3 linked regions of the Sus scrofa genome follow. Each later gene encodes a partner of the first gene's protein in a complex. Links are inferred from orthologs where the notes say so. Each region holds a gene or a part of one and is shown on either strand. Other genes may lie near its edges.

What was found. Proteins that work in one complex are often made in the same cells at the same time.
Region 2: the proteins of ARF1 (region 1) and AP3D1 are in contact, whole or in part, in a cryo-EM structure (PDB 9C5B), measured with the Homo sapiens proteins. The link is inferred for Sus scrofa from reciprocal best matches to the Homo sapiens genes ARF1 and AP3D1. Residues at the interface, in NP_001019397.1 of Homo sapiens: Tyr35, Ile46, Pro47, Thr48, Ile49, Gly50, Phe51, Asn52, Val53, Glu54, Trp66, Lys73, Ile74, Leu77, His80, Tyr81, Gln83, Asn84; in NP_003929.4 of Homo sapiens: Lys48, Asp50, Phe77, Ile80, Glu81, Ser84, Asp107, Met110, Leu111, Thr112, Thr113, Asn114, Gln115, Arg117, Lys118.
Region 3: the proteins of ARF1 (region 1) and IQSEC2 are in contact, whole or in part, in a crystal structure (PDB 6FAE), measured with the Homo sapiens proteins. The link is inferred for Sus scrofa from reciprocal best matches to the Homo sapiens genes ARF1 and IQSEC2. Residues at the interface, in NP_001019397.1 of Homo sapiens: Arg19, Gly24, Leu25, Asp26, Ala27, Lys30, Thr31, Ile46, Pro47, Thr48, Ile49, Gly50, Phe51, Asn52, Val53, Glu54, Thr55, Thr64, Trp66, Asp67, Val68, Gly69, Gly70, Gln71, Lys73, Ile74, Pro76, Leu77, Trp78, His80; in NP_001104595.1 of Homo sapiens: Arg810, Gln811, Gln841, Arg845, Val846, Gln847, Gly848, Glu849, Ala850, Gln851, Val853, Glu854, Glu858, Asp879, Phe882, Ile883, Phe886, Ala887, Ile889, Leu890, Asn892, Thr893, Asp894, Tyr896, Ser897, Pro898, Ser899, Val900, Arg904, Met906.

The regions. Positions count from the first base shown.
Region 1 is NC_010444.4:51,234,312-51,237,138, reverse strand, and holds ARF1 (ADP-ribosylation factor 1), read right to left. Parts: upstream 1,585-2,827; 5' UTR 1,584-1,584; coding exon of another isoform or gene 1,547-1,583; coding exon 1,399-1,546; coding exon of another isoform or gene 1,321-1,398; coding exon 1,210-1,320; intron 1,106-1,209; coding exon 981-1,105; intron 824-980; coding exon 662-823; 3' UTR 628-661; downstream 1-627. UniProt on the Homo sapiens protein: Small GTPase involved in protein trafficking between different compartments. Modulates vesicle budding and uncoating within the Golgi complex. In its GTP-bound form, triggers the recruitment of coatomer proteins to the Golgi membrane.
Region 2 is NC_010444.4:76,462,772-76,466,509, forward strand, and holds part of AP3D1 (AP-3 complex subunit delta-1), read left to right. Parts: intron 1-3; coding exon 4-150; intron 151-365; coding exon 366-413; intron 414-674; coding exon 675-864; intron 865-1,000; coding exon 1,001-1,089; intron 1,090-1,183; coding exon 1,184-1,269; intron 1,270-1,745; coding exon 1,746-1,867; intron 1,868-1,970; coding exon 1,971-2,050; intron 2,051-3,738. UniProt on the Homo sapiens protein: Part of the AP-3 complex, an adaptor-related complex which is not clathrin-associated. The complex is associated with the Golgi region as well as more peripheral structures.
Region 3 is NC_010461.5:46,014,922-46,018,659, forward strand, and holds part of IQSEC2 (IQ motif and SEC7 domain-containing protein 2), read right to left. Parts: intron 3,102-3,738; coding exon 3,002-3,101; intron 2,784-3,001; coding exon 2,655-2,783; intron 2,398-2,654; coding exon 2,236-2,397; intron 110-2,235; coding exon 1-109. UniProt on the Homo sapiens protein: Is a guanine nucleotide exchange factor for the ARF GTP-binding proteins.

The DNA.
Region 1 (2,827 bases):
TGTGAGCACAAATACAAGCAAAAACGCAATGGGGTGTGGGATGACCCAAGACAGAGCCAATCAGAGGGATCCTATTGTGACCATGCAGAATGGATCATGGCTGGTTCTGCTCCATTTCATTTCATGTTCCCAATGGGAAACAGACCACCAGTGGACTGGACTCAGGTGATTACTGCAGAACCTACACTAGGCACATTTCTCCCTTCTGTGTGTTCAAGTGTTCTCCTTATCTTGTATTTGTAACTATTTTTAAAAAATGCACTGAGTTTGGGTTAAAAACCAACCACCAAAATGGATCTCAACACAGATCTAAAGCCCAGAGGAGGAGGATTGGGCCTGTCTGACACGTGACTTCTAGAGGACCCGTGTGCCTAAAATCCTTTCTCAGTACTAAACAGTGGGTTGATTTTCTTTTTACAATAAAAAAAGCTGAGTAATATTGCATAGGAGTACCAGAAACTGCCTCATTGGAAACAAAAACTATTTACATTAAATAAAAACCCAGTTGCAGGCTGCGTCTGCACATTTACAGCATGGTGAAGCACACTGTGACTGACCATGGAGACAGCTTCTGGCACTCACACCACAGGGGCACGTTTGCCACATGAGAGTAAAGCAAGGGTAGAAGAGGGAGTGAGAGGGGAGGAGAGAGGTGTACAGCTCACTTCTGGTTCCGGAGCTGATTGGACAGCCAGTCCAGTCCCTCATAGAGCCCATCACCACTGGTGGCACAGGTGGCCTGAATGTACCAGTTCCTGTGGCGCAGAGAGTGTAGGCCCAGCTTGTCGGTGATCTCGGCTGCATTCATGGCATTGGGAAGGTCCTGGTGGGAGAGGCAGCACAATAGGCATGGGTCAAGGAAACTGCATGGAACCCTTTCCACCCGTCCTGTTACTCCCTCATCAGACCCTCAGACCTGAGAGGCCAACCACCTGACATGTGCCCACCACCCAGCAACAGGGTAGCTCAGTCATGCATACCTGTTTGTTAGCAAACACAAGCAGAACAGCGTCCCTGAGCTCGTCTTCTGCCAGCATCCTCATGAGCTCCTCTCGGGCCTCATTCACACGCTCTCTGTCATTACTATCTACCACAAAGATGAGACCTGCAAAGGGAGGAGTGAGCATTAGTGTAGGCACCGAGGACATCCCCGACCTCTCCTACAGGCCATGGCCCTCCTTGAGGGGTACAACTGGGTTCCACCCTCACCCTGCGTGTTCTGGAAGTAGTGGCGCCACAGTGGCCGGATCTTGTCCTGGCCGCCCACGTCCCACACGGTGAAGCTGATGTTCTTGTACTCCACGGTTTCCACGTTGAAGCCTGGAGGAGTAAGACCCAAGGTGAGCATCTCCCTAGAGCCACTGCTACCCCTTAGCCTCCGAGGCCCGGCCTCCTCACCTATAGTGGGAATGGTGGTCACGATTTCACCCAGCTTCAGTTTGTACAGGATGGTGGTCTTTCCCGCAGCATCTAGACCCACCATGAGAATGCGCATTTCTTTCTTGCCAAAAAGGCCCTTGAAGAGGTTTGCAAAGATATTCCCCATGCTGTAGACTGGTGGGAGCAACACTGGCCAGAGAAACCTGTCGAAACAAGAAGCCCCTGGGTCTCTTTCTGTGCTGCCCAGGGTCAGCAGAACAGGAGCAGCTTGAGAGACCACCCCTACCCACTCACCCACAGGCAGACAGAGGCTCTGCTATCTCTCCTGGAAACTCAAGGCATAAGCCGATAAATAACCTGGTTTCCAAACAAGACAAACCCGTCCACCTGCTTCTTGAGCCCCCAAATTACCCTTAGAACGGAGAGTATGGGAATCTTAGAATAAGGATGACCGGAATTTGAAACAGCTGCTGCCATTATCTCCGGAAATGATGCCCAAGGTCACAGGGCAACTTACCTTTAAGACCTTCAACCTGCCACTGTGGGAGGTAATGTCCAACATGCATGAAGAGGTGTGGCTTTCAAATGAATGCTAGATTCTCCACCATCTAACAGAGCTCTTCAAGGAGCCAGAAACAACCACTGCCAGGTCCTACCATTCCTCCCAACTGCCCCAAGTCTCAGTGAAACACAGTCCATGTTAAGATGACCAAAGCACAAGGAGCTAGAAGGGCCCATGGCAGAGACCAAAAGCCAACCTTTATTAACATGCTGAGAGCTTAGCACATCCTGCAGGTAGGACCAGGGGGTGAAAACACTTGGGCTCTAGGGTAGCACATGAAGGCATGCAGTCCAAAGGTGAACTCACAGCAACGGTCCTGGAGAGCCTGTCAGGGGAAACTTTGCCGAAAGCTATGGTCAGTGCTATCCTTGAGAGAAGGCCTATTCCGTGTAGCAACATGCTCACACAAGAACATGTTCCTCCCAGGCTTTCCTTACCCAGTAGAGCAGAAACACTGGGATACCATCAAGCTGGCTAGGACACAAGGTCAGAGCCCAGCCAGCCCCAGACACCCAGATCTGCAGGAAGGCACAAGTGACCGTAATTTGTCATTTGTGGGAGAGTGCTGCTCATGGGAAGAGGAGATCTCCCATCCTGAAATGTCCCCAGGGCACCAAGGCTGCCTAGGCCTGGCCCCTCCACATTCAGCACTTTCACTCTTTAACAGTTTTAGTTGCAAACAAGAAGGGAGAAAGTTCAAATGCTGAAAGCTAAGGAATCTGGATTTTTAGCATCTAAGTGAAGCCACACTGTGGTAGCTTTCAACTGTAAAGAACTCTGTGTGAGTGTTGACAGAAAACCAAATGAACCAGAGAACTTGTTCCAAGCAGGTAGGGAGCTACTTGCACGTGGATCACTGAGAGGGTGTTGGTGGATGGAAGCCAC
Region 2 (3,738 bases), about 25 Mb from region 1:
TAGAAAACTTCCAAGGAGAAGAAGAAGAAACACAAGAAGGACAAGGAGGAGAGGCCCAAAGACAAGAAGAAATCCAAAAAGAAGACACCTCCAAGGGAAGGAGTGGCTGAGCCCGTGGAGAACGGCGCACTAGATGAGGAGCCCCTCCCGGTGAGGGTGCCACTGGCGCCTGCCTGGTCCTCCCCAGACAGCCCTGACAGTGTCAGGAGCCCCAAGGTGTGGGCTCATGCTGTCCAGGACCCGCTCCATTGGGCCTAGCATTTCCTGCGGGAGCACCTGGAAGCTTACACCTGGCCCCACCCTCAGCAGACATCACGCTCAGGTTCTTGGCACCCAAAGCTGACACGTTTTTCTCTTATTCCCAGCCCATGTCTAGCTACTGCCTCTTGGCTGAAAATTCGTACATCAAAATGGTGAGTGAGAAGTGTGTTTCAGAGAGCATGGTCCACGGAAGGCTCGGGGGGGTCCTTTCTCTGTGAGGGTGTGTGGAGGCAGAGCCGTGCATCGGGAATAGCTAAAATCTGTGTACATATCTGAAACTCAGTGTCCTTGAGTGAGGGTCCAGAACGTTCCTTCCTTTGCATACTTGTGCTCACACTTTTGGGCCTTCATCCAGGCCCAGAGGGGCCCCTGGTGGGCTCCCTGCACTGCTGACCTTGCCTTGCTCTGTGCAGACATACGATGTGCAGGGCAGCCTGCAGAAGGACAGCCAGGTCACCGTGTCCGTGGTCCTGGAGAACCAGAGCAGCAGCTTCCTCAAGAGTATGGAACTCAACGTGCTGGACTCACTCAACGCCCGGCTGGCCCGGCCAGAGGGCTCCTCAGTCCATGATGGTGTCCCTGTGCCTTTCCAGCTGCCCCCTGGTGAGTGGCCCCAGGACTGGCCATCACTGAGGGCAGACCCTGGGTTGTGGGGTACCTGCCACCTGCTGGGATAGCCACACACACGCTCCCAGGCTGCACCCTGCGCTGCTTTTCAGGCCCCTCTCACCCTCACTAGGCATCTCCAACGAAGCCCAGTTTGTGTTCACCATTCAGAGCATCGTCATGGCGCAGAAGCTCAAGGGGACACTATCCTTCATTGCCAAGGTACGGGGAAGCAAGGCAGCAGTGGGGCCGCCAGCTGAGAGAACCCCTACTCTGGAGCCATGCCCACACTCACCCTGCATCCCTACTCCAACAGAATGACGAAGGCTCCACCCATGAGAAGCTCGACTTCAAGCTGCACTTCACCTGCACCTCCTACTTGGTCACCACACCTTGCTACAGGTATGCCCCCTTCCATGCTGTGCCAGGCTCTGGGTGCAATCACCTCAGCCATGCTCTCTGATTTAAGGTGTGAGAGTGCACGGACTGTCGGGTGACCGGTTTATGGTGAGCACAAAAAGCCCAGCATATCTGCTGTGCCGGCCAGCTCAGCTGCATAACACTGAGCGCAGGTCCTGTGGTCCAAGCACAGGTATTGGTTTCCTCCCAGTGCTGCAGGCTGAGACCAGTGATGGCAGAAGTGGGTCATCCTGAGGCCATCCTGTTTGGAGTGCAGACGGTCACGTGTCTTGTTCTCACAGGGACCCCAGTCTCAAATGCAGTTGCATTCTGACGTCCTGGGGGTCTGGGCTTCAACATAGGAGTTTCGGGGACATAGTCCAGCTCTTGATTTCTCACAGCACCCTTGGAGACCCTAAGCCACAGGCACACACCAAGGCCCCCTGTTTTTACTGTCCCGTTCCGTCCCTTTCCCACAGTGATGCCTTTGCCAAGTTGTTGGAGTCTGGGGACCTGAGCATGAGCTCAATCAAGGTTGATGGCATTAGTATGTCCTTCCAGAACCTTCTGGCAAAGATCTGTTTTCATCACCGTTTTTCCGGTAAGGGATTGGACATGGCTGATAGATGGCTCTGCTTTTCTACACATGTGACTCCTCCCCACCCCAGGGCTGGCCCAGCCTCACCCCTTGCCCTCTGTTGTAGTTGTGGAACGAGTGGATTCCTGCGCCTCCATGTACAGCCGCTCCATCCAGGGACACCACGTCTGCCTCCTGGTGAAGAAGGTGAGCCCTCAGGAAGGTCCCACCCAGCCTTTCCACTCCTCAGCACTGTGCCTTTGCAGCTTTGAGCCCTGTTCAGGAGGATGTTGGCCTATCCTGCGCTCCTCTGGCCTTGGCACTGGGACCTCACCAACTAAGTGGGGAGGCATTCCTTCCTCTAGCCTTTTGTAGAAGAGGTGGCGTGTAGTCAGTGTACATCTTCTTGCATGTTATGTAGAATTCACCAAGGAAATCAGGTCAGGGGCCTTCTTTTTTGAAAGGTTTTTATCTACAACTTCAACTTCTTAAAATTGCAGGAATTCTTTTTTTTTTTTTCTTTTGTCCTTTTGTCTTTTTGCCACTTCTTGGGCCACTCCTGCCGCATATGGAGGTTCCCAGGCTAGGGGTCGAATTGGAGCTGCAGCCACCAACCTATACCAGAGCCACAGCAATGCAGGATCCAAGCTGCGTCTGCAACTTATACCACAGCTCACGGCAACGCCAGATCCTTAACCCACTGAGCAAGGCCAGGGATCGAACCCGCAACCTCATGGTTCCTAGTCAGATTCATTAACCACTGAGCCATGACGGGAACTCCAAAATTGTAGGAATTCTTAATTTATCTGTTTTTTCTTGTATGAGTCGTGGTAGTTTGTGGTTTTCAAGATGTGGTCCATTTCATCCTAGTTACAGAGTTGATCATGGGTTGAGTGTTCTTGTCCTTTTAGTCTCTGAGGGATCAGTGAAAACCTTCCCTCATTGCTGATGTTGGTAATTTGTGTCTTCTCCCATTTTTCTTGGCTAGAAGACTTACCCATTTTGTCGATCCTTTTTTTTTGTGACCCTGCCAGCGCCATGCAGAAGTTCATGGGCCAGGGATCAAACCAGAAACATAGCTTTAACGCCAACTCCTTAACCCACTGAGCCACCAGGAAATTTCTTGTTGCTCTTTTGAAAAATCAACTTCAGAAATAACTTTTTTAGGGCGACACCTACAGCATACAGAAGTTCCCAGTCTTGGGCTCGAATCAGCTGCAGCTGCCAGCCTGCACCACAGCCACAGCAGGGCCAGATCTGAGTTGCATCTGCGACCTATACCACAGCTTACAGCAACACTGGATACTTAACCCACTAAGTGAGGCCAGGAATCGAACCCGCATTCTCATACTAGTTGGGTTCATTACTGCTGAGTCACAGTGGGAACTCCCAGAACCAACTTTTAAAATAAAGTTACTGTGTGAGGTTTTTTTGTGGCCCAGTGGGTTAAGGATCCACCATTGTCAAGCTTGCGTTGCTACTATGGTATAGGTTTAATCCCTGGCCCAGGAATTTCCACATGTAGTGGGTAGGCGCCAAAAAAAAAAAGTTACCATGTTTTTAAACAGTAAGTAAATTTTATGGAGTTATGCTGCCTAGCTCCTTACTTCTATTTGGGGTTTATTTTGCTCCTTTGTGAGGTTGTTAAGGTGGAAACTTGGACCTTTCCAAAAGACCTGTTTATTCTAAGAAAATGTTTAGTGCCATAAATTTTTCTCTAAGCATTGCCCTTTAGCTGAACCCTGCAAATTTTAATGATTTATTTTCATTTCTGTACAGTTTAAAACATTTTCTAATTTCTATCAAGACCTCTTCTATGTCACATGGATCAGAGTTTCCTGTTGCTTTTGTGTTACTGACAAGCCATTGAACTGTGGTCTTTGTGGACAGGAGTT
Region 3 (3,738 bases), on another chromosome or scaffold:
TACGTGTCCTCCAGGCTGCTTCGGGCCAGCGTGCCATTCACGGAGTCCTTGGCCCCTCCGGGCTGTGAGGCGTTAGGCCGCATCAGACCTTTCTGCTTCTCCAGCTCCGCTGCGTGGCAGTGGGGGGAGACATGAAGCAAAGGTCAGGGACAGGAGTGAGAGGCCACCTGACTGACCCCAGCCCTCTTTGGGCCTCCCGTCTCCTCACTCGCTCTAGACAGCCAAAAATCTAAACTAGAGTCCTGCTCTGCCCCATGGACAGCCAACCTCAGTTACATCTCCTAAGTCTTGCAGCGCCCAGCCCTTCACGCATCATCTCCTCTGGTTCAATCTTCCCTTGTCCCTCTCGGTGCCTGCTCCTCCAGCTCGTGTCCCCTTGCATCTCCCCTCCCCTGCCTAGTCTCTCAAACCACTCCTGCCTTTCAAAACAGAGTGTTACAGCGGCTGCTTTGTTCCCAGGAGGGGCAGGAAGGCCCTTCAAGCCTATGGCAAGAGGCAGTCAATCATTCCAGAGCCTGCTCCATTCTCAGATACCTTGCTCCAGAGCAGGGGGCTCCTGGAAGGACAGGAGCAGAAAAGCAACAGGAATCAGATCCTCTATTATGTGCCAGCAGTATGCTGGGGGCGATGCGTATCTGATCTCTCAATCCTCACACCAGTTCAGAGGTAAGTATGAGCAGCCACAGCTTTCAGAGGAAGAAACACAGAGCTTGCCCAGAGTCATACAGCTGGAAATGGGGGAGCCCACACCCTGGAAGCAGGTCAGAGCCTGTGCCTCCCTGTGGAGGTCACGGAGACTTCTACTTATTGCCCTCCCCTCAGCCTGGCATGCTCACCCCTCTTTCAGAAGGTCTCCAGGGTCTCAAGGATCTGGTGAGCTGAATGAGTGTCCCTGCCTTGCTGAGAAGCAGAGCAGACCCTGAAGCTGTGAAGGCCTCTCACCAAGGAGCTGTCAGCTGCCTCTGTCTCTCTCTGTCTCTCTCTACCTGCCTCTTTTTCCTTAACACGGTATTACTTAACTTCCACTGCTTAGCCTGAGAAGAGAAAACGTAGAGGGCACTGGGAGGAATGAGATGTAATCCCTATTTTCTGTTCTTTCTTTGCCTTTTAGGGCTGCACCCACGGTACATAGAAGTTCCCAAGCTAGCTGTCCAATTGGAACTGCAGCTGCTGGCCTACGCCACAGCCACAGCAACGCAGGATCCAAGCCACATCTGCGACCTACACCACAGCTCACAGCAACACTGGGTCCTTTAACCCACTGAGCGAGGCCAGGGATCGAAAACACATCCTCACAGATACCAGTCAGGTTCATTACCGCTGAGCCACGATGGGAACTCCCATTAATTTCCATTATATAGGATTGAAATGGTTCGAGGTAGTCCCTGAAGGCCAGGAGGATGGGTCCACCGGAACTCAGTTTGGGATGCAGAATGTGTGGAGAAAAGAGAGGCTGGGAAGGGGAGTGACATTTGTTGGACACCTAGGATGTTCAACACGCATGTCCAATGAACATGTAGGATAAATCAGAGTTCCCGTCGTGGCGCAGTGGTTAATGAATTCGACTAGGAACCATGAAGATGCAGGCTCGATCCTTTGCCTCGCTCTGTGGGTTAAGGATCTGGCGTTCCCGTGAGCTGTGGCGTAGGTCACAGATGAGGCTCAGATCTGGCGTTGCTGTAGCTGTGGTGTAGGCTGGAGGCTACAGCTCTGATTAGACCCCTAGCCTGGGAACCTCCATATGCCGCAGAAAAGACAAACAAAACAAAACAAAAACAAAACAAAACAAAACATGTAGGATAAATTCTCCACCTTATCCCATTGAAATCTCCACATCTCTATGAAGAGGATTTCACCACCTCAATTCCATGTAGAAGGAAATCGGGGCTCAGAGAGTCAGGCAACTGGCCCCAGTTCACCCAGATAATAAGTAGCATACCTGGGATCTGAAACCACAACTCCTACCTCCAATACCCTGATTCTTCTCCCTGCTGCCTTTCAATAGAAGGAAGAGTTGGCTCAAAATGAGGGCTTGGAATAATAATTTGAGGTTGAGAGGTAATGAGCCCCTCACCACTCCAGGTATTCAAGCAGAGGCTGAAGCATTCCTGGAATGAGGGTAGGAAGGTTGGACAAGCTAACCCTCAACTCTGAGCTTTACAAAGGACAAGATTCCCAGTGTCTGCAAGGCATGGTCTCAGGCAACGAGGAAGGAGACGTGGCTGGGCTACTCACACTCCACCCGGTATTTCTCCATCTCTTGCACCTCAGCAATGGACTCGCGCAGGTCAGATGTGAAGCGCAGCCGGTCCTGGAGGCTGGGGGCATTGAAGATGATGAGGACTTTGCGCTCCCCGCCGGGTACCGCAGACAGCAACTTGATCCCAAACTGGTAATCTGTGTGGAAGGGGGAGGTGAGGTACCTCTGTCAGAAGTGAAGCAAAGTGGCTCATACGTGAAATAATTTTTCTCATGTCCAATTCTGATCCAGCCTCTTCTCTGCATGAGCAGCAGCAGCAGCTCCGCTTTGCTCCAAAGCCCCCAAACTCTTGGGAGTCATGGCCCTGGTACTCCCTTACACCCCAGGTGTAAAGGTAGACTGAACTCTTGCTGCTCTCTGGAACCCCTTCCTTCACACCTCTGCCTCTACTCACATTGCTTCTGCTGCCCAGAAGGCCACCCATCAAAGCTCCTCTGGCTCAGTCCTTCAATGCGCCGCGGGATCACCATCTCTCCGGCCCACCAGAAAACGTACGTGCTGAGGTTCTCTGCCAGACCATGAGCTTCCCAGGGCAGAGACCCAAGTCATACTCCACCCTGGCCTGCCTTGCATCCCGGGACCAAGTAGGTGCTTTGGAGACCTTAGCCCAGTTATAAAGGAGTCCAAGAAGGAGAGGTTGGTGTGGAGGAAGGATGAGCATGGGGCGCGGGGGTGGGGTGGGGGTGGGGGTGGGGGCAAGGCAAAGACTGTTGGGATGCTGGGATCCAAAAAGGGACTCACATGAATTCTGGAAGAGCTGCATGTGCATTTCCACGAGAGGAAAGGACTGACGGAAGCTGTACGTCACCAAGATCTTCTTCTTCTGGAAAATTTTGGTGACCTTTGGCAGGGGTGGGAAAAAGACAAGAGGCAGGGTTTGGGGTGGGGAATTTCCACATGGCACCTATTTCTTGTAGCTGTCCTCCCCTCCCACCACCATGAACAGACATGTACGCACAAACACACATACCCACAAGTTGGGGAGAAATGAAGCTTGCAGAGCAGAACAGGAGAGACGGGAGAAAAATGCAAGTTCCTGATATAATGATGATGCACAACAGGCACTTAGGATTTTTAACAGGAACTAACTTAATGCTGCTCCCTCTAGGAAGCCTGTTCTAACATGTCACATAGACATCCTCTCCCACCCCACCCCATTCTCTGAGCTTCCAGAGTGCTGGTTCAGTGTCTTTCACCATGAGGCTTTAGGAGAGCGCTCTGAGTGTGTGATTGCTGGACTGGCGGTGCCCAGGGGAATCTAGTTTTCACGCATTTCGCCCACCTCAACCAGACCCATCGCACATCAGCAATCTCCAATAAACCAATGTATAGAGTTAACGAGTCTTCTCAATAACCCAAGGTCTTTCTCAAGTACTCGGGTACTCCAGATTCAGCTAACATGGGTTATAAACACTTCAGACCATCTGCAAGTGTTGTTTCAAAGTACATTATCCCATCTCAGGATGCTTACAGTACAC